Daphnia pulex: one gene and its partners. The protein of the gene in region 3 binds, or shares a complex with, the protein of the main gene of each other region. Links are inferred from orthologs where the notes say so. Each region holds a gene or a part of one and is shown on either strand. Other genes may lie near its edges.

Region 1 (10,789 bases), on a different chromosome or scaffold from region 3:
CGAAACAGAAAGTGATCTGAAAAACTCAAAAACCTGTGAGGATCACAACAACAAGCCCTTCTCATGGAACGACACATACGTGATGTCTTGGAAGAGGAGGTAATTCACTTGGCCCTTGCTTTTAGTCATGATTCACAGTTTGTTTATGAAAAACAGCTTTATTGCTGCTTATGAAAGACAGCTGTTAAAGTTGTTGTTGCTTATTGATTTTTTTTTCTCGATAGGTCATCTACGATCAATCACAATTTGGCCTTTTAAACAGCCAAATTGATGATAGTTCTTTAACTCCTCCTCTTCTGAGTGATCCTGTACGTAACAAGAAACCTCTAAATAAATTGGGTAAATTGACAAGGACAGCAGCCCTCTGTGGGGCCTATATTTCACTTGTAAGTTAATCATGTTTATCAGTCAAGAGTTCATAATTACTCAAGGTATCACATTTTACAATAGGGACTATGTATGTCAGTAACTGGACCTACATTACTATATCTGAAGGATCAAGTTGGATCTACCATTTCAGAAATTTCCTACATCTTTACAGTCCGATCAATAGGAACTTTAGGGGGTGCTTTCTTCGGTAACAGTAATTTAATATGCTCAATCCAAGTCACAAATTCAAATCTATATTTGATAACAGGTGGCTTTTTTCTTGACCGCTGTAATCCATATTCAGCATTTTTTGTGGCTATTGCCTCAATGGCCATAAGTGTTGGAGCTATGGTAAATAAGCTTAAATCAATAAAATTACTGCAATTGAAATCATGATCCTTTTTTCTTCTACAGCCATGGTGTAAACACGTTTGGATGCTGATGGTTTCATCTTTTGTTGTTGGAGTGGGTAATGGGCTGCTGGATACTGGAGCTAGCACCCTTTGTCTTCAGTTATGGGGAAGGGAATCGGGTCCCTACATGCAGGCTTTACACTTCTCTTTTGCCGTCGGTGGGTCGATCGCCCCTTTGCTCGTGCAGGCTTTCATCGTTGAAACTTCAACTACTACCCTTAACAATACCATCTCATCACGCCATGTGCGCTCCGTCACTAATCCACTCAACTCAAGTGAATCGGAAGATCAAATGACAACAATAGCTTCGATCATTAAAGCCACCAGTGAAATTCCAGTTTTAGTTACTTCTAATCTAGCCATCCCTTCATCCAATTCAACTATCCCAACAGCATCCAATTCCACATTTGGAGATGTTACATCGACAACAACTATAAGTCCAGTTGTTAACCAAAATCAGACAACGCCCTTGACAGAAAAGCCAAAGAAACCGAAACCTGCCGTCATTAATGGCCAAATTCTAGGCCCTTCGAAGCAGTTTGATAATACTCCGTTGAAAGTAGAGACTCAACCGCCCCAGGAAGTCGTTGTAACTACCACGACTGCGTCATCCAACGAAAATCAAACTACACCCGCCATTACGCTTACATCCACCGATATAACAACAATTCCTCCTTCCATCAATGGTACCCCGAAAGCTCAAGATAACATGACGGAAATAACGATGATACTCCAAAAATCCAATGAAGTCCAAGGGCTCAATATCGGCAGCAGTGACAATAATACTTCTACCGTTTCATCCAAGAATGCGTCTGAATCCACCGGAAACGATACCGTCACTTCTTCAACTTTGAGTCCTGTTACTGAAAACTCTACGATAACCACCATTCCTCTAACTACTGTAGAACCCGTTATCAATTCATCAAACTTAAACGCTGAATTCCAGCCTAAAGAAACTGCCATCAACAACGTAACAAAAGGTAATTTTAACAATCAGAAAATAATGTAAACACGATTTTAATATTGAACTTGTAGGTGCTGAACTTAATGTTAAAACATTCCCTACTACAACTCCTCTTTATTCTTCGACGACGTCTCAATCAACTACGGCTGTTTCAACTACAACTTCGACAACGACGACACCATCCTCGATAGAATTGCTACCCACGACCATCAAAAACATTTCATTACCCATTCCAGTTGCTACAACATTGCCAGTCGACCTTGCAGATAATGTTGTAGTCAAGAGTCGTGGAAAGAGCAGAGGTCAACAAGATGAAGTCAGCTCGGTGGTTCCCTCGACTACGCTCGTACTTCCAGTCACAACTTCCGAGCCTAACGTACTTGTGACAACAACAAATTCACCCATCCACAATGAGAGCGAGACTATTGATCGGTCCCCCGTTAAAGTTTCTGACTATCTGGAGCGTTTTGGAGTTACGCGGATGCACATGTTGTATACCGTTATCGCCATCATCGTCTTGCACACAGCCTTTTTCTTTCTCTTCTTTCTGTGTTCTGGAACTCGCAGCTCGACCGCCGAACGTCAAACGTCTGATCGGAAAGTTAAACCTTTCCGGCCCAGCGCCAAGATATCCTTCGTCGTGCTGATGTTCTCGTTTTACTTGATGTACGTCGGCTCTGAGGTCGTATTTGCTCAGTTCCTTACTACATTTGCGTTGGAGAGCCCACTTAAGCTATCGACTTCGACTGCCAATTACATCACAACTACATTCTGGGCCTCGTTCGCGGCCGCACGATTTGTAGCCATTTTCGTTGCCCACTTCACCAATCCCACAGCCATGCTCATTTTCAACTTATGCTCTACTGCGCTCGGCTCGATGACTCTCTGTGTTGCTGGGCAGACGGACGCCACTATTTTGTACGTCGGTTCGGCCTTGGTTGGCGTAGGAATGGCTTCAACCTTCGCAACAGGCTTCATATGGACCGAAACACACCTGCTGGTAACTAACCGGATTTCTGCGGCTTTCTCAGTTGCTTCTTCAATGGGAGAGATGATATTCCCAACGGTACGTTAAATTTAAATGCTAATGATTTCCACTACGTATTTATAACCCGTCTGTTTTGTTTACCGTGTTGATACAGGTAACAGGCGCATTGATCGAGTCGAATCCACTTTCCCTGATGTACATAGTTCTAGGATGCACCATTTTTATCACGACAGTCTTTTTTGTAGCCTGGTACCTGGCAAAACGTAAAGGACGAGGCTTTAGCAGTAACAGCAGGGGCTATCATCTTGCACGTCAAGCCGAGGATGAATCAGCGCAAAACTAGATAACTTTACTTTTTTTTCACTTAAAAATAATGTTTAGGTGAGGTAATCCTCATTCCCTTGATGTTTAGCTTAGAAAGACAAAAGAGAAAGGTGAAAATTCGGTTCATGTCTGTGATAGAGGGTTGAAGAGCTTGATTGGAATCCATTTGCGTGTATTTTTTTTATCCCTTTACATGATCGTAGCATCCAATATTTGATGAAGGAATTTTAGGCTTTTTTCACTGTGTTCCCGATGGTCTGTTAAACGATTGAAAAGAGAAAGATCAGTTTCATTTGACTCGTCAATTTAAAGAACTAAATTGTTAAAAAATAAAATTTTAAAAATTCCAGTCATGAATTTCAAATTCAGCTCACAACTATTTTGAATGAAATTAAGTGAATTGAGAGCTAACTTACTTAGACCATTCGACAGTCAGGATAAGATGGTCGTAACCAAAACCATTCAAGGTCTTGATAGCTCGTTCGGCGTCTTCTCGTCGTTTGTAGCTGACAAATGCAAAACCTCTGGATTGGCCAGTGTTTTTGTCCTAAAATTCAGTTTGAAGCGGTGCCATAATTTTTACAAAATGATAATTAGTGAATAAATTTGAGTCTAACCTTTGAGAGGAAGATGCGTGAGATTTCGCCAATACGGCCGAACAATTCTTGAAGATCGGAATCGCGAGCGTTTTCCGAGAGGTTGGTTACTCGTACAGTGCACCCTTCATCAGCTGTTATCGGGAAAGAAAAGGGTAATCATTAAATAATGTTTTTCCTATGTATGTTTTCTATTACTTCTCCGGTGGTTTTAATAATATGAAATAAACTACTATGAAGAAACTGTATCTTACTTCGTCGACCCATAGCCATAGTCTCTCCTTTTCTGTTGCCACCATCACGAAGTGCAGGTGCAATATAGGCGCTTCCTTCTTTACCACCCTTGGCTTGCGGTCCTCCAGCAGCAGCTGCGGCAGGAGGCGGGCCGGCCTTCTTCTCCTCAGCCTTAATTAAAGAGATATAGAGCAAAATTAGCAAGAGTTCAATTCAAAATAAAGAAAATGTGTTTACCTTATTGAGTGCTTCTTGGACAGGCAAAAGTGTGTCCTTGTAAGGACACTGTGTTGTCCAATGGTCCTCTTTACAGATACGACACTTAACAATGCCCTTCTGCATGCTTTTTAACTTCATAAGAGGGTCATCTTCCTTGTTATCAGGATCCTCTTTGTTCGTAATAAACTGTCAAAGTAAAAATGGTAATTAGCATCCAACGGTTTTGATAGATCAACTGAGAAAAGAAATACCTGCATGGCTACATCTTCAGATACAATTGTTGTTGCAGGGTTTGGTCCTGGTTTATCTTCCTTGGAAAGACCAAATTTTGGCCAACTTTTACGCTGGGCAATGGCTTTAGCTACATACCTTTTCTCTATTTTGTAAGTACGCACCACCTTGAACTTCCTGTTATCATCATCAAGACCATACTCTGTGACAATTTTCAGCCCATTTTTGTATTCTTCAGTGTTAGGGGGTAAACCGAGACCTAAGGAATAATACCGGCATGATTAAAGAAAATCTTACATTAATTACGGGGAAGCGGCATTACTAACCATCGATATCCTCAACGTCATCGGCCCAACTGGATTTAACTCTGAAATCATATCAAGATTGTGTTGTATTTTTAATATTTGCACATTAATTTGTCTCATTTCACTTACTCATTATCAGCAACCGGCATTTTTCTTGGAGAAGATTGATTACGTCAAGTAAATAATCAAAAAGTAGAAAATTCACTGCTATTGCAGAAATGTGTCAGCAAGCAGCCATTAGAACGTGTGTAGAGCGACATTGCCAGTTTTGAAAAATTCATTTCGTAATTTTGACTGCTTTTACAATTTCGTCTGCTCTTCTTCGAATACAATCCCGCCGTTTATGAGATTCCGGCACGTGGAACTCGAATACAGCAAAAATGGCTAGCTTACCACAGAAAAAATATTATCGACAAAGAGCACACTCCAATCCTATCGCAGATCACTGTTTTGACTAGTGAGTATCTTATTTCCAGTTTTCGATTTATCATTAAGTCATTTTCTAACCCAATTTGTCGTTTGAAGTCCTGTCTCTCCCAATGACATGAAATGGGATGAGCTCTATCCTACATTCAGCAAAGATGGAATAATGAAACACAAAGTTCAGTTTGCTGATATTGGATGTGGCTATGGCGGTTTATTGAGTATTTTTATCACATTTTGCCAATAAAATATGTGGAAAATTAATTTTGTATTTTTTTTTAACAGTATCATTATCCACCATGTTCCCAGAGACTTTAATGTTAGGAATGGAGATTCGTTTGAAAGTTTCAGAATATGTCCAGGATCGCATAAAGGCGTTGAGGATTTTGCATCCAGGTGATTACGGAAATGTTGCCTGCTTAAGAAGCAATGCCATGAAGTACTTACATTTATTTTGTTCATTTACTTGGGCATGTTTGCTTAATTTATTCTATGCTACTAGGTACCTCCCTTGCTTTTTCGATAAAGGACAATTGACAAAAATGTTTTTCCTCTTCCCTGATCCTCATTTTAAGAAGGCCAAACACAAGTGGCGTATTATCAATGACACTCTCTTGGCTGAATATGCCTATGTTTTGGCTGAAGGGGTAAGTAGGCAGGCCTAGAACGGCCCTTCTTTAGCTACTTGATGTAGATATCTTGTGTGATTAATTAAATTTTACTTTAGGGTTTGGTTTACACAATTACTGATGTTAAAGATCTTCATGAATGGATGGTTATGCATCTAGACCAACATCCATTATTTAAGAGACTAACCCAGGAAGAGCTGGTTAGTTATACTTTATAATTAAATAGCTATAAAACTACAAATTCTTTTTGCGGTATCAGGATCAAGACATTGTAGTTCCAAAACTGTACGAATCAACGGAGGAGGGCAAAAAAGTCACGCGAAATAGTGGTGATAAATTTCTTGCTGTATTCAGAAGAATTCCTGATCCATTCGTACTTGAAGAAAACAAGTGCTAATGTATACAAATTTGTTTGCCGGTTCCCTGCTCGTCACTTGTATTGCTCCCAATGGAACTGTTTGCTGGAATTCACATAATCAACCAGCTTTAAGCTGCCATTCAAAATAGGTGACCCACGTTTTATGTATGCATCGCCCATGCGCAGAACAGACAAATTTTCCAAGATCAATAGTTGTTGACAAAGAACTCATAAGGTATGTACGGTATTTTGTAACTGAAAAGGGAGCGCGCGCAAACGTGTCAAATGACGAATGGGCACTTTGAATTAAAGTTTCATGGAAATAAATTTAACATTCTCTTTTTTGGCAATCCATTTGTAGATCTGTTTGACTGAAGGGTCTTTTATGAATGATTTCCTGATTTGTAATGTTTCTAGTTTTCAAAGGGATTAACTTGTATCTTTTTGTGGAGCTTGAGTTCTTATTGATTCATTTGCTCATACGATCGATACGTTCAATAATCTGCTTCATAGAGAAAAAAAAAATCGTGTTAAGTTTCCGTCGTCTACGTATCGACCATGTGTCAGCTGACGATTTCATGGGAAGCAAAGGAACGTGGAAAAAAAACGTCACCATCCATCCTTTCAACTTATTGTTATTCGTGTTGAATACCATTTTGTAAAAATCTTAATCGAATTAGGCGCGTAGGAATTCTGCGACGCTGTGAAAATGGGATGGGTTGAAACTCGGGGAGCGTGGCATAAATGTAATTTCACTAAGCCGACTAAGTGACTAAGACGAGATTGCATCACTGATAGTGATGTTTATTGTTATAGGATGTGAAATCCTAGCAGGCGGTAGATGAAAGAATATATAAGGAAATAATATTCCGATGAAAATTTATGGTGCGCATCAGCGTGACCCATTTGTGCTGCGTAATATGATTTCCTGCAGTTTTATTTTGTTTGAAATATTTAAACACTTGACGGATGGGAAACACTTGAATATGTTCGGCTCCGGTCCGACGGCTTTTCGTCTTATAGAAATTTCTTCGATCCCCGAGTCAATATTGGGACACTTTCCGATGCGGTTGTGCAATCGGCCGCTGTGTGGCGTATCTCACAGTCTATGCAGCCATGTTGAGTTGGCCTGGCCATATTCGAGCCAGTTCGTGCTATGAGAGACGGTGCTGGTGCGCTCTCTCCAACCGCTGTCATTCTCTACCCAACGTCAAACACGGTTCCACCGACAGTATTGTGGCTGAAAAAAGATTAACCAACTCCCTGAAAGTCTTCTTGTGTTTTTTTGTGAATTTCGTTTCATTGTGCAATCCTCTCTGTGGTCCGCCATAGTGGGGAAGTTCCCGACTGGTCCGAGTTCTTTTTGTAACGTTAGGCTCGACCGTCGAAAACACCATCGAAAATGGCAGGCAATCAGGGAATGGAATCCCTTATTCCTCTCGTGAATAAATTGCAAGATGCCTTCACTTCGTTGGGGGTGCAAATGTCTCTTGACCTACCCCAAATTGCTGTTGTGGGTGGGCAAAGTGCAGGAAAAAGCTCTGTGCTGGAAAATTTTGTTGGCAGGTGGGATTAATTTCGAGAAACCTCCCCTTTGTTTTCTCATAACTCATTGTTTTTTCACTTGTGCAGGGATTTCCTACCTCGTGGCTCTGGCATTGTCACTCGACGTCCCCTTATCTTGCAGCTGATCAACTCTCCTCAGGGTAAGTAACTTGGCAAATGCAATACATGTTATATCTGTGAGTAATAATCAATATGTTTGAACTTTCAGAATATGGAGAGTTTTTGCACTGCAAAGGAAAGATCTTTGCTGACTTTGATGAGATTCGTAAGGAAATTGAGGCAGACACTGACCGATTAACTGGTACCAACAAAGGAATATCCAACTTGCCCATCAATTTGAGAGTATACTCTCCTCACGGTAAACCAATTTTACTTCACAAGTCCAACTTTACTTACAGAAAAGTTTAGAGTTTGATAATGGTTATTTATTTAAGAATTTAAAATGTCACACAATTGAACTAGACTTTGGGAGGGTTTAACGGCGTTATTAAAACACCATTACAAGTAATGGTGGTGGCCAAAACATGTCGCCAAGTTCTTTCCCTTGTCTAAATCTTCCGACCCATCACTACTCACACTGGAGTATACGTCCACATATAGAAAAGTGTGCAGTCCCGAGCATTGCTCGGGATGAACGGATCAATACCTCCTGCCCGCTGCGAGAGATTGGCACTATACAAAAAAGAGGAAAAATAAGGAACCCCCCTCGTTGGTCGACCACATTTCCATGATTCTTGCATCATCGATCATTCTCTCTTATGTAGCCAAAGAACCGCCTCATCACCCCCCGTCCGACTAGGCTCCCCACGACGACTTGATCGACAGACTAAATAGTTGAGAGAGTAATTAGATTGGGTACCACCTAGAGGGGAAGCCTCCCGTCGACTCAACACACTCGTATGAATGAATCCAGCCATTGCTCTGCCTATACGACAACCGGAGTAGCATTTGAAATAGCCATTAAAAATGTTAAACTTTAGTATTGTGGACTGGGGTTTATTTTTCCGGGAAAAAACCCAAATTCTGTATGTCTTCCGTCTCGAGGGTATACGCGGTTTTGTATGTATCGTGTATGTGCGCGCAAAAGAGGGGCCCTCTCAACTGTGGGAGGATCGAGGCTGGTCTGATCGATACGGCCGTTTGCCGTCTCCTAGGAAGAGAATGAGCAGGAAAAAAGGGAGAAATAACGTAAGAGTTTTTCTTTTCTCGTGCAGCACCACTCACAACAACAACAAAAAAAGAAGAAGAAAGATTACTCTTATTCAGATGCTGCTACACTCGCCCATCACACCGTAGTTTCGTTGTGGATTGGTCGCCATGTTGTGTCGATGCCTCTACAAGAAAAACTTTTCTCTTTTTTTTTCCCAAGGAATTCGCATAAGTTTTTCCCTTTTTTTTTGGCGCCATTGACAATCAATAGGAAAAGAAGCTGAGTCTTCTGGTCGATATTAACCTCAAGAGAGCAAAAGGGAACAGATGGGATGAAAGAAGGAAAAACAAATTGAGGATAAGACTCACACAAAAGTTTTTGCTCTTTTTCTCAATTCTTACCGAAAGATGTCTTATCTAGGCCGGTTATAGTGGAACGAATATTTGATCTGGTAAACTGACCTCTTGAGGCACGCACCGAGTCCGAGCGCTTCCCCCCCGCAATATAATGTAATAAAAGAATGCCATTGACCGGAATCTTCTTACGAGCCATTCGTGTTTTTTTTTTTTCGGAGGGCTTTTTCAATAATAAAATAACTCCCACAAACTCACGACTGTTGCGTGTGTGTGTATGTAGTGCTGAACATCACCCTGATCGACTTGCCCGGTCTGACCAAGATCGCTGTTGGCGATCAGCCTTTGGACATCGAGGCTCAAATCCGAGACATGATTTTTCAATTCATCACCAAGGAGACTTGCCTTATCCTGGCAGTCACTCCTGCCAACATTGATTTGGCTAATTCGGATGCCTTGAAATTGGCCAAGGAAGTGGATCCCGATGGTATTTCACATTGCGAAATTATCAGCACGAATACTTGGCAGCTTCTGTATTTATGAATGGGCCCCCCTCGTGTAAATAGGCTTGGCGTGTGTGGGTTCTTTTTTTAGTTAGTTATGTAATGAATGATGATCGCATGTCAAGAGTTTCTTTTTTATTATTTTTATTTTATTTTTTTACCGCTTTTTGTTTTCGTGTTGTAGTTCTTAATTTGACCCTGATTGATTTGCCTGGCTTGACGAAAATTGCCGTCGGTGACCAACCTATCGACATTGAGATGCAAATACGTAGCATGATCCTCACCTATATCACAAAATCTAGTTGCCTCATCCTGGCTGTTACCCCTGCCAACATTGATTTGGCCAATTCGGATGCTTTGAAACTGGCCAAAGAAGTAGATCCTGCAGGTATAATAAAAATAATAAATTGTAGTTTCTGCTCCTCTACCCTTTTTTAAAAAGGTCGCAGGCACGTGAGTTGCTTCCTGATTCGTGTTTTATTGCTTGTATATTTCCCTGTCTTGACATTCCAATTTCCTTTGACTTTTGACGTGAAAGAAAATCGTGCCAGGCAGTTTTATATATCTCAATTGGGAAAGATCCCTGTTAAACCTTGAACGCAATCTCCACGGCACCATTTTCTTTGATGACTCCCCGATACTTGCATTTTTAAACCTGCTTAAAGGATTGCCACTATCGATCCGTCGACCGAAACGGAGAGAGGATTTGCTCTGGTTCGATCGATGTCTGGATGGTGTTGGTTATTTTATCCAGAATGTTTCGTTAACGCGCTGTTGTTGCACAGGTTTGCGAACAATTGGTGTCATCACCAAGCTGGATTTGATGGACGAAGGAACGGATGCTCGAGACATTTTGGAGAACAAGCTGCTGCCGTTGCGGCGCGGCTACGTCGGTGTGGTCAACCGTAGCCAAAAGGATATCGACGGACGCAAAGACATTAAAGTGGCTGTAGCGGCCGAGCGCAAATTCTTCCTCGGCCACCCATCCTACCGCCATATGGCTGAGAGAATGGGAACGCCCTACCTTCAACGTGTTCTCAATCAGCAGCTCACTAACCACATCCGTGAAACGTTGCCAGGATTGAGAGACCGTCTCCAGGTCTGTTGTTGTTGTTGTTGTCACAGGGAATGAATGGGATGAGAATGCGTGGTGGGCAATAATAA
Region 2 (10,661 bases), on a different chromosome or scaffold from region 3:
AAACACTTGAAAATCATATGTGCTACTTTTCTGTTTTGCTTGTTGATTTTTCAACCTCAGCTAACTTTTGTGAAACATCGTTAACCTGTAAATATTCAAAAGAAATTATTAATATTACAGTAACTACAATTTTAAAACTGAAGACTTACAAAATTACTATAGTTCTTAATCAATGCATAGGTATCATCTGATAGGTTAGACACTTTTTTCTCTTGACTTTCTTGTAGCAAAGAAATTTTGTAAAGTTGACTTTCTAGTTGAGGCACATCTATTAATTAAAATATGTTATAAAATCATTTTCATTTTCATCTTGCTGCTAATACTTTGTATCGCTTGACTATCAAGAACGGGTTTTAACAAATTCATCTTTTGAAAGTGGTTGAGGGCTTCTTTCATATCCTCTTCCTTAGATAGTAGGAGCTGAAGCTTCACAGCTTCAGGCATAAAACCATCAGATTCAGCATATAAAGGATCTGCATATTTCTTGACTTCATCAGCTATAGACATGTTAACTGACATTGTTATCCATGAAAAACATTTTTTTTTTTAAGTTTTCATCTTACCTCTTTTCAGAGCAGAAGATACTTTTTCATTTTTTGAAACAACACTAGCCAACTTTCGTGAAACAGCCAGCATTGTATCTATCAACTTAAATAAGAGTTGCTCAGTAATAATAATAGTCCATAAAAATGTGAATTTCGTAAAACCTGTTCATCATCTTGTCGATGGACATCTTCCCCCAGTACATATTTTTCTAATCGTTTAAGTCGTTCTTCAACAGCGTCCAGTTCAGAACTCATCTTGTAAAAACTTGAATCAAAACTTTCGAGATTTTGGGGGATCACTAAATGTGAAATATGCCTAATTCTCTGAATGCCGCTGTTGAAATTAAAAATAATGAAAGGTGTAATATAGTTATCCGGTGTAGGCTCTCGGCTCTATGAGATGAGCTGTGTGCAGCTGTCACTGACTCACTGCGCTCACTGTTAGGAAAAAGTAAATAAAATTAAAAAAATAATAATAGAATGCAACGCTGTGTGTTATGCTTACTGTGGTTACGCAAAAGGAAAATTCTAACAAAGATTTGTACATTGACCAAATATCGTGATTAATAATTTTTTTTTTAAATCTTTAGATATTTAATTGCTTTTCATTTAAATTTAATTCAGGGTTAGGGCTACACGGTGCGTGTAATATTTTTATATCCTTAGGCGATTTTTACGCCACCTGCTAGTCATTTTCTGAAACGGTATTGCATTTAAATTTAGGACGTCTTGTTTACATTTTGTCACTTTCTACCACGGTGGACGGTGATTAAGTTAAACCCGCAAAAAATTTTTAAATATATATATATATATATTTTTTTTTAATGTTCGCACTGGAATAAGCTGAACTTAAGAACTTTATATTGTTTGTTGTAATACCATTAAGTCCTTAAGGGATAGATAAAGACCGCTCACAACTGGTCTTTATCTATGATTTAGGCGTTAACTGCATAATCATGTAGCTCCTGCACAATCCCAGAAGCTCGTTTTTCTGAAGCTACCGGCCCTCTAATAAAAATTCATGACATAAATTTAAAAAAAGAAAAGGGTTAAATAGCACATGGGATGCGTAACGCTATTTGAAATTATCTAACTTCTCGATCTAAACTCGACAGTATAGCGCTATTACTTGGCTTTGCTCGAAAGCCAGCAAATTTATGTTAAAAGTGCAAGATCGGGAAAATAATATTCACACGCTTTCGCAGTCGTTTAGGGTTATAAGCGGGTGACCGACGTTCAGGCAAGTACCTAAATCAGTGTTTGTTTTGTTGGCTGGCCCCGTCTGTCCCGAAGGGTTCCCAGTACTGGCCTGAAGGGCCCGGTCTGAACGTCGTAAATCCTTATAAACTTATAAGTTATAACTTATTCTAGACCGCATTTATTGGTTAACATTGTTTTGGTGCTACACTGATTTATGTTAATTTCGATATAAAGAATTCGTTTTCGTCACCGAAACATTTATGAATTATGCGAGAATCAGTAATGAACAACACAGATACAAGTGAGTGTGTCAGGAACGTCCCGCCGCAAAGCCTGAGTTGCCTCAAACAGCAACGCTTCATTTTCTTTAAAAATTTTTTGAATTTTTTGGATGGAATTAAAACCCTCGAGTGGACCATCGGTGATTTCTGATTACATTAAAATGGAATTCTCTCTTTAGAAAAACAAAACAAACATTTTTATGCTGAGTAAGAAAGCAGCCAAGAAAGGTACTAGGTAGAAGGTTTGGAACTCGTTGGAACTATTTCCACAGACAGCGCCATTGGGCCTATGGTGGCATAGAAGAACACTGCATCAAAAGGAAGATCGAGGTGCCGTCTGCCGTTTTGTTTGTTTTGTTATATTGATCGTGCGAAAACATCACGAACGATTTCATTTCATAGTTGGTCCTTTTGGTGTGGCAATCACGCACTTCATTGACGTCATAATACATAAAAATTCGTATTTATTCGCGTTTTTTTACCGTGTTCATGGTATTGCTTTTGAGTCAGCACAGGCATTTTGATTTTCTCAACTTACCGATCACTTGAAACTTAATTTTCCTGGACCCACTTGATTAATTCGTCGTAGTGTAAAACTTTACCTTTTAGAAAAAATACCCTAGTAAACAGAATGTTTCATTCACCAATTTTGAATTGTATTTCCAAGAGGAATGTCTCCTTTTTCACTTCATCCAACTTATTGCTTAATGGTAGATTTTTAGAATTATTATAAATTTATTCCATGTTTGCTGTGAAAATATGTTTATTATTGGTTTTTAGGGGGAAAATGCCATCTGAAGATTTTAGGTACCAAAAAAATTCAAACAGAACCTTCTAAAACAGATTTTGCTCAACCAAAACCCACAGTAAATTTTGAAAAATGGGTTGCAAATCTATCACCAGCACAACAAAATTCCCTTCTTTCTACTTTATTAAAGCAAACACAAAGTAAAAAACAAATTACTTAAAGAAATTATTTTTTTTGTTGTTGAAGTGATGCACTTACATTATTATTGACAGTGTCTTCAGACAATTCACCACCTCCTTCTCTGAGAACATCACAGCTCTTCCATGGTAAACTAGAAATATTATTTATATTGCAATTTTACTTAATGGTCCATTCTTGATTTCAGTTGGAATACATTATTCCCTTCCTTTCATTGGGTTTGGATTTTTGGACAATTTTATCATGATTATTGCTGTAGGTTTTTCAAAGTGGATTAAATTGAGGCCTTCCATAAAATACGTTAATTCACGCGATTTCTTACACCCTCTAAATTTCCCTCATAAAAATTTCTCTTACTTGCCGCACTCCTGTAGGCGTGGTTTCATTATGGACGGCCTCTATTTCCGTTATTGAATGTGCTTCAAACATTTTTAACATAATATTATATTTCACTTTATCAGGGTGACTACATAGATTTAACAATTGGAAGTATGTTTGGTATTTCTACTATGGCAGCAGCTGGAATAGGAAATGCAATATCTGATGTTGCTGGAGTAGGATCTGCTCAGTTCGTCGAGTCTTTTTCTCAAAAACTAGGAATTCCTCAACCCGATCTCGAGCCTCGGCAATATGCTTTTCGATCAACTACTTGGGCCATTAATATCGGACGTGCTATTGGTGTTGCTATAGGATGTGTGCTTGGAATGGTACCACTTTTATTTTTACCTACATCTGACAGCAAACGGCATTCAAAGGACCCTTCATCTCATTTGTGATTGGCATGTCCGATATATTATTAGTCTTATAACCTTACAAATACGTGAACCTAAAATAATTATTTAAACTCATAAAAATGACATTTTGCCGCGCAATGGCAATGGATCCTACTGCGACTTGGCAACTTTAATGTTCGATTCTTATTGTTTTGCACATTTTTGAGCATTCCGATGAACTAACGTGGAGATTCTTCACATAACAATTATTTATATTGCCCACAATTGCTGTTCAATCTTGACCCCATTATTAGAGATATAGCCAAAGAATTTTACATGTTCAATACAATATATTCTAACACTTGGTAACTCATTCACAGAAAACACAAACAAAATGGTATGCATAAGCCAGTTTATTATTAAGGATTCTCAGAGGATATTTAGAAAAACGAGATGGTTCACGCAGGCCTTGAACGCACTTGGTTGAACAGACGATCTTTAATTACTTGAGCCAGCAAACCATGAAGAGCTTCAATGGAAGTTTTTGTAGCATCACGAGCTGCTTTAGCTAGCCTATCTTCCGATCTTCTATCCTCAATGCTGGAGCCACTCACACCAACGCCGCTTCCGACTAGAGCCGCCCGTCCTAGAGAGTTTTCAGCTTGCTCAAGTTTTTCCGAAAGGTCCGATACTTGACCTGTTGTATAATCAGCATTCTAATAAAAAGAGATATTAATACTTTTTATAACATGATATAACGCTTTGAATATTTGTTCTTACTGTGGTGAGAGATGAAGAACTCAATGTGCTGACCCAGTACTTATTCCATAATGAGTCTAATAGACGGCGATCCAGAGCTGATTTAAAGTAAGAAACCTCAAGGGCATAGTACTGCTTGCAGTGGACACCAAAATCTTCAACCTTATTGAGTGGGATGGTTTGATACTCACTTGGCTCTTCATTTGGGGGTTTGTAACCCTAAGGAAAAATAAAAAGTAAACTACTCTGTACGCTTGATAGAAAAATATATCTGTTCACCTTAGGGTATGTACGGAAGGCACCAAGACACACCTTGCCAGCTGAAATAGTACGAACAGGATCTACAACAATAGCAACAAAGGGTTCCTGGAAATTTTGGTTAAGCATCTGGGTAGAAACATCAATTCCTGATAGCCAGCATCCATATCCAGGGTGTGAATGGTACCATCCAATGGCATTTTCAAGACGATTAACCTAATACTCATATTCCAATTAGTTACTTAAAAATGTGATCAAGAGCAAATGTACTTGCCTGTTTAGCTGATTCTATGTAAGCAGTCATGTATTCATAAGCCTGTGACTGAGCATTTACTCTGGTTTCTGTGCCTTCAACTGGCAGGGCAAATGCATCCATTACCACCATTGTGTTTGCATCTACTTTGCCCAAAAGCAATCCCATCACTTCTAGATGTCCTCCAGACCGAGCATGAGTAACCATTTTCAACAATGCCAAGGCTGATATACGGATCTCTTTGAAGAAATGAGGGCTAGAACATAAAACGTAAAGTTGTTAACATGACTTGATACAAAATAAAAAATAATATTACTCTTTATCCCATGGTTTAGCAGCCAACATGTCTTGCTGTTGCTTTCTATCATATCGATAAATTTCGTCAACTGAACTAATATTTTCCACATTATTAGCCATGAGCCAATTATTCAGGGCTATGTTAGATTGTGAACTCATCTTGGATGTGGAACACACAACCAATTTTACTTGAAACCTCTTTTTGCAAAAGACACTCTAAAGTCCAAATGGGGAAATTCGAACGAGGTATACCAGTGCTGAATATATCAAATCCAAACGTACAGCCGGAAACTAAATCTCATCGACTGTTGATGTCGTCTACGAGACTACGACCTACGGGTCTTGTTTTGCCTTTGGCATACTGGGAGCTGCTGGGAGAATGAAGAGGTAAAATGCGGGTCGCGGCGGTGGTAGGAACAAAGTAAAACGTAGGATTTCAGCCTCAGGGATGGATTGGACGACTGCGATTGCCTAGTCTGCTACGACTGCTACTTCAGTACTTCTGACTTCTCCTACTCCATTAGTCCATTGTCCATTGCCTCACCACTAAATCCCTATCTACTCTTTTTCCCACGTTTTACTATTTCTTACCGTGGAGTTGCCGATGCCCGATAAACAAATTCAAACTTGTTTCCAAACATGCTTTCGTTTCGAGTGTGGCAAATTAAACATAACCGTAGGAAAATACCTTGGAAATATTCATTATCTAGTTTAAATATTCTTCATAATTATAGAATACATTTTTCAACAAAAAGCCAATGCAAAGAAGAAGTATCTATTTCAAACAAATGTGTTACTATTAATCCGTGTGGTATACAAATGTTATCAAGATCTATCCATCGACAGATATTCGAAAAAGAAAACAACAATTCTGTATCTAAAGAAACGCTGTTAAAAATTCAGCAGCATTTATCAATTCACCATCTTTATGGCAAATCACCAAGTAAACTCCCAGATATTGATTTGAAGCTCCCAACTTTATTAGGAAAAAACATAGCAGAACACTTTGAAAAAATTGCTGAAAAACAATGTGGAAGTTACCGTAATAAATTGTTAGATTTGACATCACATTGCATTCCAGACATCCCTCAAGTCTGGAACTTTGCACCTGGATGGACAAGATACAACCAAAATGGAGAGATGGATCTAGTTCATTTTCCAGAAGAGGATGCATATGTCTTTGATGTGGAAGTCTGTGTGAAAGAGGGCCATTTGCCAACCCTTGCAACTGCAGTTTCAAAAAACTACTGGTACTCATGGTGTAGTAATCAGCTGTTTACTGAAAATAAGGTTTATTTTTATTTTTCTTAATACTTTTTTCACCCTATATCAATGCTTTATTATCCTACTTGACAGGTGCAAAGTTCAATTTTGAAGGATATGGAAAGTATTTATGAATTAAAGGACTTGATCAACTTGGAATCAAAAACGGAACAAGACCGTCTCCCTCTCAAAGATCAAAAAGAGCGTATCGTTATAGGACATAATGTAAGTTATGACCGTTCGCGAATAAAAGAGCAGTATTTCATCGATGGCACCAAAGTTCGATTTTTTGATACGATGGCTTTGCACATAGCGATCAGTGGCATCACGAGTTTTCAAAGAAACATGCTCCTTGCCGCAAAATCTGGTACCCCTATTGATCGTTCTCTGAAAAATCCCCAGTACTGTAATGGCAAGTCAAGAAAAACGGAAGAAATTCTAGAGTGGCAAAATGTCAGCTCATTTAACGGTTTAAATGATGTGCACAAACTTTATTGCGGAGGATTAGGTTTAGATAAAGAGAAGCGAAACATCTTTGTAACTGGTTCTCTAACAGATATTAAAGACGATTTTCAGCAATTAGTAACTTACTGTGCACGAGATTGTCAAGCAACTTACCGAATACTTTGTGTTCTTCTCCCCGAGTTTCAGAAGCGATTCCCACACCCAGTCACGGTAAGTTTTTTTTTTTCATAGATAACATTTTTGGCATTTATTTTTTCTATTCAGATAAATTTTCCTCTTCAAGTTTATTGAATTTATTTTTCTAGTTGGCTGGGATGTTGGAAATGAGTACATCGTATCTACCGGTAAATCGCAATTGGCAACGATATTTGCAAGAATCTGAAGATACATACCGTGATTCAGAGAATGAATTAACCCAGAGCTTGAAACGAGAAGCTGACCGTGCATCCCATATGATGACGGATAAATCCTACGAAAAGGATCCCTGGCTTTGGGATCTTGACTGGTCAACGAAACCGCTGAAAGTGAAAAAAACGTCGGTGCCAAAAAAGAAAAAAAGCGCAGCTGTTATACCCAGCATAAATAATGAAGAACCTGAAAATCAAACAAATAAAGAAGATAACGACGATGAGATTCTTGAAATTCAAAAACTAAAATGTCAGTTTCAAGAATTATTCAATACCAAGGAACTGTTATTCAAACGCAATTCTTTCTTGCCCGGGTATTAATCTCAGTTTTTCATTTATGTTAGTATTTTATTTCTTTTTCTAAAACACATTATTTTCATCCCGTAGTTACCCAAATTGGTACAGCTCCTTATGCGATCGCCTTCAAGATGGTTTGATCGGCCCAACTGAAGTGTCAACATCAGCCCAAGTAGTAAGTACCCAAGTACCCATTATATTTATTTATTATATTTAACCCAACTACCCATTTACCCAGGTACCCAAACTACTCAAACTGACCTGGGACGGATATCCACTTTTTCATAGTCGTGAACTAGGTTGGGGCTATCTTGTTCCAGGGAGACCTTTAAATTTGTCTCGAATCGATGAAGATGTGTGTGAGATTCCTTTTCCGTTGAAAGAAGCATTAGCCCTTTTCCCACCTCGGCCTGCTGACCAAAATGTTTTGACTAAAGGAATTATTACCGCTGAAGAAGCCATGCTGAAGCTTAGACAAATGACGGATTTGACTGCTGATCCTGTTGACTTGGCCATGCAGTGGCAGGTGATTTTACTTTATTTTCCCAGCTTCACCCTTTTCTCGCCAAACTTACCACCCATCTTTTTATAGGCTACTCGGAGAAGTTTAAACAACGACGCAGATCAAGCGAATCTTCATCCTGCGATTGACAAATCAAAAGAGAAACACACTTATTTGACATCCGATCGACCTGCTTGGCACGTAGGAATAGGCCCTTATGACGTTGGTGTGGCTGGTTGTTGGTTTTTTCGACTCCCGCATAAATCTGGTGTTGACAACAATGTTGGAAATCCGCTTGCCAAAGACTACTTAAACAAAATTGAAGACGGTACTTTAAAAGCCACTTCAAGTTCCATTGCCGAACATGTTTTAAAACTAAACCGCAATAGTAAGCTATAATCGACAGATTATAAGATAGATATAAGATAGATTTATAATAGTATAATATTTTCTTTCTGTCTTCTTGAATCCCAGTCATCTACTGGAGAAACGCTCGCGATCGCATTATGTCACAAATGGTTGTGTGGCTTCGACAATCTCAAATTCCTCGCAACGTGACCAAATCTGAACATTTTGACCCATTGAATACGTATGGGGCCATTCTACCACAGATCGTAACGTCAGGCACTCTCACACGAAGAGCAGTTGAATCTACCTGGTTGACAGCTTCAAATGCGTACAAGGTATTTTTTTTTATTGTTTATATTCAAACAAAATTTAAAATTCTCAAGTATTCTGGATGTTTAGGATCGGATAGGATCAGAATTAAAGGCTATGATCCAATGTCCTCCTGGCTTTAACTTTGTCGGTGCGGATGTTGATTCTCAAGAACTTTGGATTGCATCTATAATTGGGGACTCATTTTTCGCCGGTCAACACGGTTCAACTGCTTTTGGCTGGATGACTCTTCAGGGCAAAAAAAGTGATGGGACAGACATGCACAGCCGAACCGCTGCAGCCGTTGATATTACGAGAGATCAGGCCAAAATTTTGAATTATGGAAGAATTTATGGGGCTGGCGAACGATTCGCAAGAACTTTGTTGATGCAGTTCAATCACCGGTTAACCGAAAAAGAAGCTACAGAAAAAGCCCGCAAAATGTACTCATTGACTAAGGGTAATTCTCTCCTCAAATTAAGTCATTATGGGCGGCAATTAGCCTCTGCTTCGGGAAATAAAGATGAGTTGGTAACACTAGAACAATTAAGTGAAATGCGAAAAAATGCAAGAAAGGAACCCAGCCTGAAGAAGATCGCCAATTTGCCGACAGACGAATTAGTTGAACGGCGAATGTGGGCTGGCGGAACCGAATCACACATGTTCAACAAACTGGAAGAAATTGCACAGTCGGAGTCGCCGCAGACTCCAGTGTTACATTGCCGGATCAGTCGTGCCTTGGAACCCCGAAATGTTGGCAACGAATTCATGACGAGTCGCGTGAATTGGGTAGTCCAGAGTTCCGCCGTCGACTATCTTCATTTGATGATTGTGGCAATGCGATACCTCGTTGATGTGTACAAGTTAGTAGTTGTTTTATCATTTTTAATTTTATGCAATTCCTTAAGTGTTGAATTTGTTTTCTTTTAGAATTGAAGGCCGTTTTTCAATAAGCATTCACGATGAAGTTCGGTACATAATTAAGGAAGAGGATAAATTCCGTGCTGCATTAGCGTTACAAGTCGCAAACCTTTGGACCCGGTGCATGTTTTCATATCAAATGAATTTGAATGATTTACCTCAGGCCGTTGCTTTCTTCTCGTCAGTGGATATAGACACGGTATTACGCAAAGAATCAAACATGGACTGTCAAACACCCTCAAACCCTTATGGCCTCAAACAAGGATATGGCATAGATTTTGGTTGCAGCTATGACATTTACCAAATTTTGGAAAAGACTGGTGGTTCTCTCGATTCAAAAACCAAAAATTGCAGTAAAGAATCTCCTGTGAATTAGCCTTAATGTTCCTAGAGAAAGTAGTTGCTTCGTGTAAAAATCGCTTATTGGAATTCACGTACCAATTTGAGTTATTCGTAATAATGCTGATAATTTAAAAAAAGCCTAAGCTTTCTCCGTGATATACTTGTTCTAACAATTGAAGTAATAAACAACTCGAAAACTGAAATCAAGTAATAAAATTGTTATTCTCAGTAAATTGATTGTTCTCCATTTAATTAAAATACTTTTTTTTTCAAAATCAGTAATGTTTTTTTTTTTTTTAATTTGTAATCCCATTACCTTTAAGCAAGCAAAGATAAGACCAAAGCTATTAATGAAGTAAGTTTCGCATTTATAAACTTGTGCTTTTTGGTTTATTTAATTAAGCCGTCATGAAGACTGGAAATTAGTTAGTGTGCTATACTCATTATTGCTTTTTAAAATGTACATTATTTAAAAGGAAATAAGATAAATTTTTATTTTGAAGGAGAAGCTCTAATTCTTTACCTTAGACGTTTTCAGCGCTCCAAGCTTTCCTT
Region 3 (10,510 bases):
GCCTCTTTGTATTAGGTATCTCACTGTCACTGCTTTCTCTTTAACCTTGCTTTCTAAATGTATGAAATCAAAGTTAGAAAATTATTTACGGAAATAAGTTATGGAGTACCTTTTAATGCATGCAGTATTTCCTGCATGTCCGGAACTGAGAGATTTCCATCAATCAATCAAATTCGAGTTATGTCGGTGATTGGGCAAGTACGTTTGCAAATGGCCTATTCGACAGTCCTTGACTATCATCAACACTTCTCCTGTAACAGCAGAGTATCAATTAAATTCACATTCGCATTCTTTTTGAACCGAAATAGTGTAAAGAAGACTTACCTTATGAGTTTTAAGGGTTCATCACGGCTTCACTTATTAGATATGTCCTTCTAATGAAAATTTGCTAGAGCAAAAAGAACCACTTTGATTTTTTTGTTTTTACCTTGCGATTGTAAACAATAACATTCGTCTGAGACGATTGCAAATCAATTGTTAAGCTAACTATTGCATTGTAATCGATAGCTTAGAACCCCTCCCCAAAAGAGGCAGAGAAACGACGATTTTCGGTCCGCCCGCTAGACGGCGGTGGTGAATTGCAGTAAATTTCAAGCAGTTAATTTTGCGTCACTTTGGCGTTCCATATAGCAGACGTTTGTTTTTCAAAACAAGTCGATTAACGAGTAGAAAATTATTTTTGATACTTTAAGTTTGTATTTGCCATTTGGTTGTTGCTAAAGATTTTATACTTTTATTGCTCGAATATCGAGGTCAGTTTAAATATGAACGACTGTCCCTGTATGTGATGCAATTCTAACCATGAGTCGAGTTATAAGCCAAGCTCGAAGGTTTACCTTGCTTGCAGCTAAAAATCAATTTCGCCCCCACGCAAAAGTAAATACTATCCAGTTAGGTTCGTTGGAATTAATTCGTCGTTATTCTTCTTCAATTGATTCCCAACTCCATGATGAAGGTATTCAGGTGTAAACATTAAAGAAGTTCAATTACATACTGGTCAGATGAAAATTGAGTGCTTTGTTTGATAGGATTTGCCAAACTTAAGAAGAAGTCTCCCAAGATGATTACATTTAAAGATAAAATTGAAAAGCATGACTTGGATGCAAAATTAAACAATATAAGGAAATGGCTTTCTAAGGGCCATTTTGTTAAAGCATCCATCTCAAATGTTTCAAAAGATGAGAAAAAAGTGGTAATGGAAAATTCATAATAGTACTGTACCAAATTTATCATATTTAATCATTTCTCTTAACAATAGGAACAAATGTATAATGACTTGATGAAGGAACTTGCAAAAGAAGGCAAATTCAAAATGTTTAAAACTAGCAGCAGAGAAACTAAATTCAGCATAGAACCAATAGAGAATATTGAAACTGATGAGCAAAAGAACATAACATAACATGGCTAACTATTTCCTTTGATCCTAGTAGTTACAATACAAGTGGAAAGAAATTGTCACATTGACACATTCTCTTAAGTTTATCATCATCATCCTACAGTGTGATAAAATTCTTATTTCATGGTAATGGTAATCAAAGTCAACCTCTCTTAAGCTAATGGTTATTTTAAACATAGTTTAATTTCATTTAACTTCTAACATTAATCACTATATCAGTAATAGTTATTAATTCCCGAAACGTAAACGTTCATTAAATAACGTTCAATTAATTCGATTGAAAATTCCCGAGACCTTCGTAAAATTTCAAGTTAGGAAGTCCTCGCTAGATGCCGCACAGATCATTCTACTCCAAATGGTCGACCACGACCATGATCAAAAACTACTTCATAATAACAATCTACCCATAATTGTATACAGTATACATTGTAGGTACTGATGAAAATGAAAAATTCGTCAAGGAGTCGAGCTGCTTTTCTTCGATTTCCAATCGTTTTTGGTAAATTTAATTACAAAGCCATTGAATAGTAATTGGTTAAAAATTGTTTTCTTCATAAGGATTCATTTTGGGAACATTCTACATGGGGTTTCAATATCGGTGAGACATTGAAAGACTTGCTCAGTACAGAACTGATAAATCTCAATTTCATTCCAGCAAAGGAGATATTTGAATATTGTTTTTCATTTTAGGAAGTTGTTCATGAAAGACATAGAAGAAAAGCAAAAGGAAATGAATAAAGAAGATCCTAACAGTAGAGGATTGATCACAAGCTCAATTGGACAGATCAATCGTGAAAGAAGCAATAAGAATGATAAATGACAAGATTCATTTGTGATTCTTCATGGCAAATTTTAGAATGGACAAAATTTAATACACAAAAAAATGCAATTTCTGAAAATTATTCAATCCTACTTAAGTATACTAAAATAACTAGTTTATGTTGTGAGTGACTCTTTCTTATTTGGGGATGAATACGTGATTTCCTCGCTCTGCATGAATTCTTCCTGTATGTTTAAATAAATATGTCATTCATGAATGTAAGTAAATTTTAAAACTAAATATTAGACATATTGTGTAATGCTATACAGGCTGAAAGCCAGTTGCTTCCAGAACTTCCACTTGCTCATATACATACCTTGTTGTATATTACTTTTACTATAAGTGAACAACTCGGACATGTGGCTTCCTCTTCCCCATTTTCTAGCTGTTCCTGTTGAAATAAAAGTAAACCTTTTAATAAGCTTGGAATCTGAGTAAGGAATGGGGACGTCACATTACTTTGGTGATTTCAAACCGATCTCCACAAGGGCAAGGATAGAAGTAAATTTCACTGTCCGAATCATATTCAAAATCTTCGATTTCAACTTCATCGTGATAGACAGACATTTTCACCAAAAATTCTGAGTAATAAATAAAAGATTTTTCTCAACTACTGAAACAAAAATGTGTGGATCTTCAAAAGACAACACGTGAGAAAAAGAGACATCTGCCGGCCAAAAATCAGACTACCTGAATTAACTCACGTTTACACGTTGCATATAATAAGCATAATAAAAAAAGAATTTTTTTTTTATCTCCTACCCTACTTTCAAACAACAGTATGTTGGAAACAAAACAGAAATAATGATCAAAGTCTGATTTTGTCAGATAATGTGCCGGCGTCATCGTTTATTTCCACAAAACCTTAATAGAGATGGATAGCGGGATAATTTGAAGTCTTTTGTTTCTTCTCTAATCGGTTCAGGATTGCTGAGCGAGAAGTTCGGCTTGCTCGTTAACGATGGTTAGCATGGAATCTTTGACCTGTCTGAGGTGGCCTCGCCAAGTAGTCAGCAACTCACGCAACTGCTGCCAGTGCTGCTTGCCGAATGTCCGATGCATGGTTGATGAAACAAGCACTTTCTTGTTCAACTGATCCATTCGTGCGCGCACCAATTTCGTCTTAAGGACTTGAAGGACAAATTCCTCTACTTGATCTTCGGTTAGTTGTAATTGCTTCTCGAGCGTTTCGAAAGGGAGCTCTACGGAATTTTCAGCCAACTGCATGAAAGTCAAAATTCGCATTTTTCGAAGGTTCTGCTCATGTTTCAGACCTAAAAATCATTGTTACTTAAAATTCTTAAAAAAATACTTAAAAATTTCCAGTAAATACCTAGTCCTTCAACAAAATCTTTCTTTTCCTCATAAAACTTCAAATAAGCTGACAGCTTTTCCGTCACGAATACGGTCAACAGATCGTGCAAAAGGGCACCTTCCAAAACTGTACACAAAAATTAATTAATAACTGATTTAACTTCAAAGTAATTTTTATAAACCTTTCACAGGTTGCAAAGTCAATAAATGATCGAGAAGGAAAGTGTTGGGATCAGCCAATGAAGCAACAATGCAGCGTTGAGCTTCCTCACGAGCCTGTGAAGCATTTTCGGTCGTGTAAGTGCTCAACAACTCCACCATCACTTTGGAGGCCAGTTCACTGAATAATAACACTGGTTTGATTTATTGTTACAATTATTTGTTTAACTTCAATACTTTACCTTTCTCTGGAGTTGAGGAGAGCTTCATGTAAACTTCGGAGGAGTTTTTGCATCTGCTCGTTGTTAGGTTTGCATGGCCCTAGTTGAGTACGCATTTTATCTAGATCCGTGAACACTGTCTTCATCTGTTCCACTTGTCCAGCAACTTGGACTAGCGTGTGATAGACCGTGTAACGCGTTGTACTCACAGGATCAAGCCCATGAAATAGTACAGACAGACTAAAGAATCAAAATTATAGTTAGACAATTCATTATGTAAACTTCAAATTTCAAATGCTCACACTCTCAGACAAACAAGTCCCAACTTGTTTGAGGGGGGTTTTGCAAGCTTTTGGCAAAACGTAGTAATTATTGGTTCAGCTTTTTCATTGGGGAGAAGAACGAGCATAGATACAATGCTATTCAAGACTCCCTCAGATTCCACTTCATTGCCCTCCTTCAAAGAAGAAAATAGTGTAAACACACACTACTAATTGAAATAAAATTGTCACTTACTTTGAAACAGAGATCTGCAACAGCAACAATGTTGCTAAGATCTGAGTTTTGATCATCATCCACATTTGATGCTCCAAGAGCCTTGAAATAGCTACACAATTCAGTAGCCTAAAAAGACAGATATGAATACAATGACCAATTCAAAGCCTTGATGTCTTAAATTTTGTCTCAGTACTATATAACAGTTATTTGCTTTCTCCAGGTGGTAAAACAGGTATAAAAATTAGAAATACTAGTAGGGAAAATTGTCTATAACACAGAAAGGTGTACGCTACTGGCAGACTCCACACTTCATCGCCACAACAGTTTAGCATCTACCGGACTAAATTTATGGGGAAACTAACCTGTTCTTCGACCGTTAAATCGATAAATGCTGGTAAACTCATCCTGATAAATTGTTCAAAACAAACTGGAAAAAAAGATTCCTTTATTAGAAGTTGCTTGTCAAAAAAATCCGGATATAGGCCACGCTCACGATCCCGGTACAGAAGTTCGTCTGTAATGGCGACATTGCCACCGTGTTCCCCTACAGATAAATCAACGATTTTTTTTTTTTTTTAATTCTTTGTTTCAACACTTTCACGCTTTCCAAAATTTTCTAAAACCAGTTCTTGATTTTTTAAAATTATTATTAAAAAAATTACTACCTTTTAAAATTGCAGCATAAAAGATCACCACATTTGTTATCGCTGTTATCGGCTCACTCGCAATTTCTATCTAACTTGACGTGTTGCGGTGTTGGAAGAAACAAACCGAATACACCGTCAAAGGTACGCACCGGTTTCGGATTCATTTGATCGTTATCATTCGAACCAGCATTTATTTTTCAAATTTATTAATTGTTAACTTCCTTATAACGTTAAAGTTAACTGGTGACATTCACAAATCTGTTAACGTGCAAATCGCAAAAATATATAATAGTTGGAGTGGTTGGCAATTTAGGTAGAAGATAGAAGTAAGTAAGACATTTTAACTATTGCATCAGACATTTCAAAATATTAATGACTAGATTTTACTTACAGAGTGAGAAGTTTCGAAGGGATAAATAATAATTTTTGGAACACATTGAGAAATTGGTTGTACCTTGTTCACCTATTATGTCTGAAGCCCCCTTAAACAACAGCAGCATGGAGCTGAAGATTTACAATAGTCTGACTCGTAAGAAGGAGGTGTTTACTCCTCAGAATGGGAAAAATATCACCTGGTATTCTTGCGGACCAACAGTCTATGATGCATCCCACATGGGACATGCCCGTTCATACATGTCTTTTGATATCCTGAGAAGGGTCTTAAGAGACTACTTTGGATATGACATTACTTATGTAATGAATATCACTGATATTGACGACAAAATTATTAAAAGAGCAAGGCAAAATTATTTATATGAAAAGTATGCAACTGAGATGAGTGAACTTGAAACTCTTCAAACAGATGTCAAGGAATCTGTTGATCGTCTTTCTAAGCAAATGGCAGTAACCACCGATCCCGACAAGAAAGTTATGCAGGAGAAGATGTTGGCCAAAGTCACTGCCGCGATTGAAAAATTCACCGAAACAATCAAGCTTGGTCAAGGATTATCCGAAGCAAAGAGCTTTTTGTTGGCTGAAGCCAAAGACGTCTTGAGCGATTGGCTCGACTCGAAGCACGGCATGGATGTTTCAGATAACGCAATTTTCGCGTCTCTTCCGCGACATTGGGAAGAAGAGTTTTACAAAGATATGGCCGCTCTCAATGTTCTACCAGCCGATGTTATTACGCGTGTTAGCGAATATGTCCCGGAGATCGTGGATTACATCTCACGAATCATTGAACGTGGACTTGCATATTCAGGTGAGTTTTTATCTCTTTTTTTCTATTATCTCGTCACGGTTAATGACTCTTTTGTCATTGTATAGCAAATGGCTCTGTATACTTCAATGTCTCAAAGTTCGATTCGCAAAAGAATCACAAGTATGCGAAATTGGTACCTGAAGCTTACGGTGACTCAAAGGCATTGCAAGAAGGAGAAGGTGATCTAAGTGTCTCTGAAGATCGGTTAAGTGAGAAAAAATCACCTAACGATTTTGCGCTATGGAAAACTTCAAAGAGTGGTGAACCTTCCTGGGATTCTCCTTGGGGGAAAGGTAAAATTCAACTAAAAAATGTCGAACCAACGTAATGAATTAATAATTAAATTATTTTATTTTATTTTATTCTATTCAGGACGTCCTGGGTGGCATATTGAATGCAGTGTGATGGCAAGTGCAATTCTAGGGTCATCAATGGATATTCACACAGGAGGCGTCGACCTAAAGTTCCCTCATCACGACAATGAACTAGCCCAATCTGAAGCCTACTACGATAATGATGAATGGGTTCGCTATTTCCTTCATACTGGTCATCTGACCATCCAGGTACTATACAAACTTCCGTAAACTTTTTCCGTTCTTCCACCCAATAGAAAACTATAATGGACATTATTCTACAGGGTTGTAAAATGTCTAAATCCCTCAAGAATTTCATCACCATACAAGATGCGTTGAGTAGAAATAGCAGCCGCGAATTGCGCATCTTTTTCTTGCTTCACCCATGGAAAGAAACACTCGACTATAGTGACAGTGCAATGGATGAAGCATCGAGTTACGAAAAAATGCTAAGGGAATTCTTCTTAAATGCCAAGGATCTTTTGAGGAATGGCCCGTCATCGAATACTGCCGCAGAATATTTTCAAAAATGGAGCACAGCTGAGCAGGAAGTCAACACCCGATTCGTCGAAACGAAAAATCGAGTACGGGAAGCTCTCTGCGATAACATAGACACTAAAACGTCTCTGGAAGCGATTAAAAGCATGATATCGGCTTGCAATAAATACCTGGCACAGCTGAAGCAATCTGCCAACCGGGTTCTAATCAAGGTCATTGCCGAATATGTAACGCGGTTGTTCCAGATCTTTGGCGTGATTGAAGGCAAGCAAACCCTTGGATTCCCCTCTGAATCGTCTAGTGGAGGTACCGATAATGTTGAAGAAATCGTAATGCCTGTCCTTGAAGCGCTCGCAGACTTCCGAGAAGAAGTGAGAAAAGAGGCTCGTCAATTACGTGCAACACGCGTTCTCGAACTTTGCGATCAAATTCGAGATGACGTTTTGCCTAACCTGGGCGTAAGACTCGAAGATCGGGAAAATCAGCCTCCTGCTTTGAAGCTTGTCCCACGTGAGGAACTGCTTAAGGAGAAAGAAGACAAAAGATTGGCTGAGGAAGCCAAAAAAGCTGAGAAAGAACGTAAAAAGGCTGAATTAGCAGCCAAAGAAGCCGAAAAGGAAGCAAAACGACGCATGCCTCCCACTGAACTATTCAGAAGTAAAGATAGATTTAATTGTTTGTGCCATCAATCATTATAACTTAAATGATTAACGTGTTTCTTTGATCTAGGTGAAACGGATAAATATTCTGCTTTCGACGAGAAAGGGATGCCAACCTTAGACAAGGATGGCAAAGAAGTCAGCAAAGGCCAGCTTAAGAAGTTGGAGAAACTATGGCAAGCCCAAGAAAAAGTTTATAAAGCATACTTGCTGGAGGTTTCATCAAAGAATGAGAGTTGATGCAATACAAGAATAAGTTGGTGGGAAAAATAAGATTTAAGATGTATTAAATCAATTCTAAATACAATCATCCATATGGAAATCATCAATATAAATCAGGTTGTTTAAATCTTGATTCCTTATCTTTATTTTTTACATGATCCTTCAATAGATCCATGATTTCATTGTTAAACTCTTCAGGTGTCTCTCTTACACCAGTTGCCCAATAGTAAATATCCCAATCATTTGAGGGTAAATTGATCAGTCTGTCATATAAAGACATTTGATCATCACTCATTCCATCCAAGTAGCGTGAGGCAAATGTGCTGAGAATCAAACCATTTTCCAACATACCACGTTTTCTGGATTGATACATTAGTCTGTGGAGATGTGAAAATTGTTTACAACAATAAACTCAGATATAAGTAATTGAAGAGAAAACCAATACCTGGCCTTTTTCAAAGTGGATGACTCATTTTCCCTTTCAACATATGGTGGAATCCATGGTTCAGTTTGAGGTGAGGGGTACCTGATATTTTTAACAACTTATATTATTCTATCAATGAAAAAAAATCTTAAGATTATAGAATTCATACATATCTCCGCTGCTGGTGTCGGATGACAGAAATCTCAATACGGTAACTTTATCACACTATTGAAAATATTACATAACAATTTAGTTTCATGAACCATTCTTTAACAAATCAACACCTACCCTAAATGTTAACTGTCTGATTGGATGTAGAAGTCGAGAAAAAATATTTGATTGAGCCATTGTGAAAATTTTTCTTTATAAATTATGAAGCTAGCCAAAACGTCTTTACTGAGTTACGTAAAAGTCGTAAACAAAAGTGGGTGTTACTAAAACGCGAAGCGAAACGGCGGAACGCGAAACTCCTAAAACGCGAAACAGTGGTGCGAAACGGTCCCAAAAATTGGGGACCGTTTCGCGGGTCCAATGGCCTAAGGGCATCCTAAAGTGCGAAACCATTTGCGAAACCTTTGATTTTTGAAATATAAAAAATATCCAGTTTTTAAATTTCTGAACGCCCAAGGGCATCCTAAATTGCGAAACTACTTGCGAAATATTTTACTTTTGAAATTTAAAAATGATACTATTATTTAATTTAAATAAATAATATGAACATCTTGAATTCCACCGTTTATTGTAGTTTGAACAGATTCAAAGAGTAATTGAATAACAAAGATGGGCTTGGTAACAAGTTCTGTTGGTTTATTCATACATATTTTCGTACAAAGTCAATAATTACAGACTCAGACATAAATAGGTTATAGTTTCTGAAATTAAACTGGCCGGTATAGCTATTTGGGCATCAATTCTACACAAGATAATTCGCCGTTAATTGATTTTGATAATGAGTAAGGCAATGAATGCATGTATGCCGCTTTGCGCTTTCTCACCCTGGCCATATGGCTGTGTATTTCCCGTCGTCTTTTGTCGAAGCCGGTCGAAGCACTTGGAGCGTGGCCAAACCGAAGTAGCTCTTGCACAACGTCTCGCCATTGCTGATGGATGCTCTTTTATTCGAATGCTCCGGAGCGTTTAGAAAAAAAAGGCTCTTAAACAAAATAACCCCAAAAAATAAATCTTCTATTTTATTATTTTCTTTTTTAATTTGATAGAAAAAGAAATCATATTCCCAAGGACGACATTTTTATGTGTTTGACTCGCAATCAGAATTGATCGGAATAGATTTATTTTGTCGTCTATAACGCTAAATTATAAAAGAAGTGGTGGTCGTGATATGACGAGACCGGTGCTCATCATCATTAACCCACACCTGTTGAAATATTATATTTTTGGTTTGAAGCTGTGGGATGATGTGTATAATAGTACCAACCGTGTAGACATTTTAGTATCATATTAATACTTTTTCTTTTTTTTTAACATCAGTCGACGAGAAAAAAAGAGTAAAAAAGAAGAAGAAGCCAAAAAAAACGAACGATAACGACGTCTTCGTGACTACTTAGTCTCTTTGAAACGAACTTGTTTTTCTTTTTCTCTCTCGAATAATTTCAACTTTTCTGCTTTTTTTATTTTTTGCTGCTGCTTTTGTCAATGAGACAAACCGAGACAGAGCGTTCCGTGTACACACATTTAAACTCAACTGCCAACATACATATCAACAGCCAGTTCGGTAGTTAGTTAGGTTAGTAAGTAGTTAACTTTTAACCATGCTTTTAACAATGCACTGAGCTACTGACGTCGACTGTTTCGCGTCTACGGTTTCGCATTTTAGTAAGACCTCTAGCGCCTAAACTGCGAAACGGTCCCGAAAATTTTTGGGACCGTTTCGCACCACTGTTTCGCGTTTTAGGAGTTTCGCGTTCCGCCGTTTCGCTTCGCGTTTTAGTAACACCCAACAAAAGTACAGCAGACGAAGACGAGATTTTGTTGTACTAGAACAGTACTGCCTCAGGGTCGAAGTGTACTACAAAAGGAGGAGTTCACCTTGATTTTTCCTTGACGTTTCACACGTAGATGTAATGTTTTTTTTCAAGAG

The links.
Region 1: eukaryotic translation initiation factor 3 subunit M-like (region 3) and eukaryotic translation initiation factor 3 subunit G-like share a complex: the UniProt entries of both Caenorhabditis elegans proteins name them as parts of the eukaryotic translation initiation factor 3 (eIF-3) complex. The link is inferred for Daphnia pulex from reciprocal best matches to the Caenorhabditis elegans genes cif-1 and eif-3.G.
Region 2: eukaryotic translation initiation factor 3 subunit M-like (region 3) and COP9 signalosome complex subunit 5-like share a complex: the UniProt entries of both Caenorhabditis elegans proteins name them as parts of the CSN complex. The link is inferred for Daphnia pulex from reciprocal best matches to the Caenorhabditis elegans genes cif-1 and csn-5.

The regions. Positions count from the first base shown.
Region 1 is NC_060023.1:11,174,571-11,185,359, forward strand, and holds eukaryotic translation initiation factor 3 subunit G-like, read right to left. Parts: upstream 4,910-10,789; 5' UTR 4,793-4,909; coding exon 4,773-4,792; intron 4,706-4,772; coding exon 4,665-4,705; intron 4,598-4,664; coding exon 4,359-4,597; intron 4,294-4,358; coding exon 4,126-4,293; intron 4,060-4,125; coding exon 3,909-4,059; intron 3,898-3,908; exon of another isoform or gene 3,789-3,897; coding exon 3,676-3,788; exon of another isoform or gene 3,606-3,675; coding exon 3,475-3,605; exon of another isoform or gene 3,316-3,474; coding exon 3,297-3,315; 3' UTR 3,214-3,296; downstream 1-3,213. Other genes in the region: flocculation protein FLO11-like, read left to right, coding at 64-99, 225-386, 451-577, 638-720, 784-1,762, 1,818-2,812, 2,889-3,077; tRNA (guanine-N(7)-)-methyltransferase-like, read left to right, coding at 5,024-5,100, 5,169-5,287, 5,352-5,505, 5,569-5,713, 5,794-5,895, 5,955-6,092; dynamin-like, read left to right, coding at 7,456-7,619, 7,686-7,759, 7,828-7,977, 9,406-9,609, 10,411-10,724. UniProt on the Caenorhabditis elegans protein: RNA-binding component of the eukaryotic translation initiation factor 3 (eIF-3) complex, which is involved in protein synthesis of a specialized repertoire of mRNAs and, together with other initiation factors, stimulates binding of mRNA and methionyl-tRNAi to the 40S ribosome.
Region 2 is NC_060026.1:5,020,096-5,030,756, forward strand, and holds COP9 signalosome complex subunit 5-like, read right to left. Parts: upstream 5,480-10,661; 5' UTR 5,412-5,479; coding exon 5,272-5,411; intron 5,212-5,271; coding exon 4,977-5,211; intron 4,919-4,976; coding exon 4,724-4,918; intron 4,664-4,723; coding exon 4,466-4,663; intron 4,402-4,465; coding exon 4,144-4,401; 3' UTR 4,084-4,143; downstream 1-4,083. Other genes in the region: dynactin subunit 3-like, read right to left, coding at 23-85, 150-268, 324-497, 564-648, 708-800; transmembrane protein 65-like, read left to right, coding at 2,658-2,736, 2,807-2,974, 3,047-3,100, 3,160-3,227, 3,434-3,748. UniProt on the Caenorhabditis elegans protein: Probable protease subunit of the COP9 signalosome complex (CSN), a complex involved in various cellular and developmental processes.
Region 3 is NC_060019.1:9,157,062-9,167,571, forward strand, and holds eukaryotic translation initiation factor 3 subunit M-like, read right to left. Parts: upstream 4,952-10,510; 5' UTR 4,813-4,951; coding exon 4,771-4,812; intron 4,535-4,770; coding exon 4,427-4,534; intron 4,368-4,426; coding exon 4,213-4,367; intron 4,151-4,212; coding exon 3,932-4,150; intron 3,871-3,931; coding exon 3,713-3,870; intron 3,658-3,712; coding exon 3,550-3,657; intron 3,491-3,549; coding exon 3,138-3,490; 3' UTR 3,036-3,137; downstream 1-3,035. Other genes in the region: DPH3 homolog, read right to left, coding at 2,333-2,401, 2,533-2,607, 2,676-2,783; cysteine--tRNA ligase, cytoplasmic-like, read left to right, coding at 5,524-6,256, 6,322-6,549, 6,629-6,819, 6,894-7,764, 7,837-8,006; succinate dehydrogenase assembly factor 2, mitochondrial-like, read right to left, coding at 8,092-8,365, 8,434-8,514, 8,582-8,637, 8,701-8,760. UniProt on the Caenorhabditis elegans protein: Component of the eukaryotic translation initiation factor 3 (eIF-3) complex, which is involved in protein synthesis of a specialized repertoire of mRNAs and, together with other initiation factors, stimulates binding of mRNA and methionyl-tRNAi to the 40S ribosome.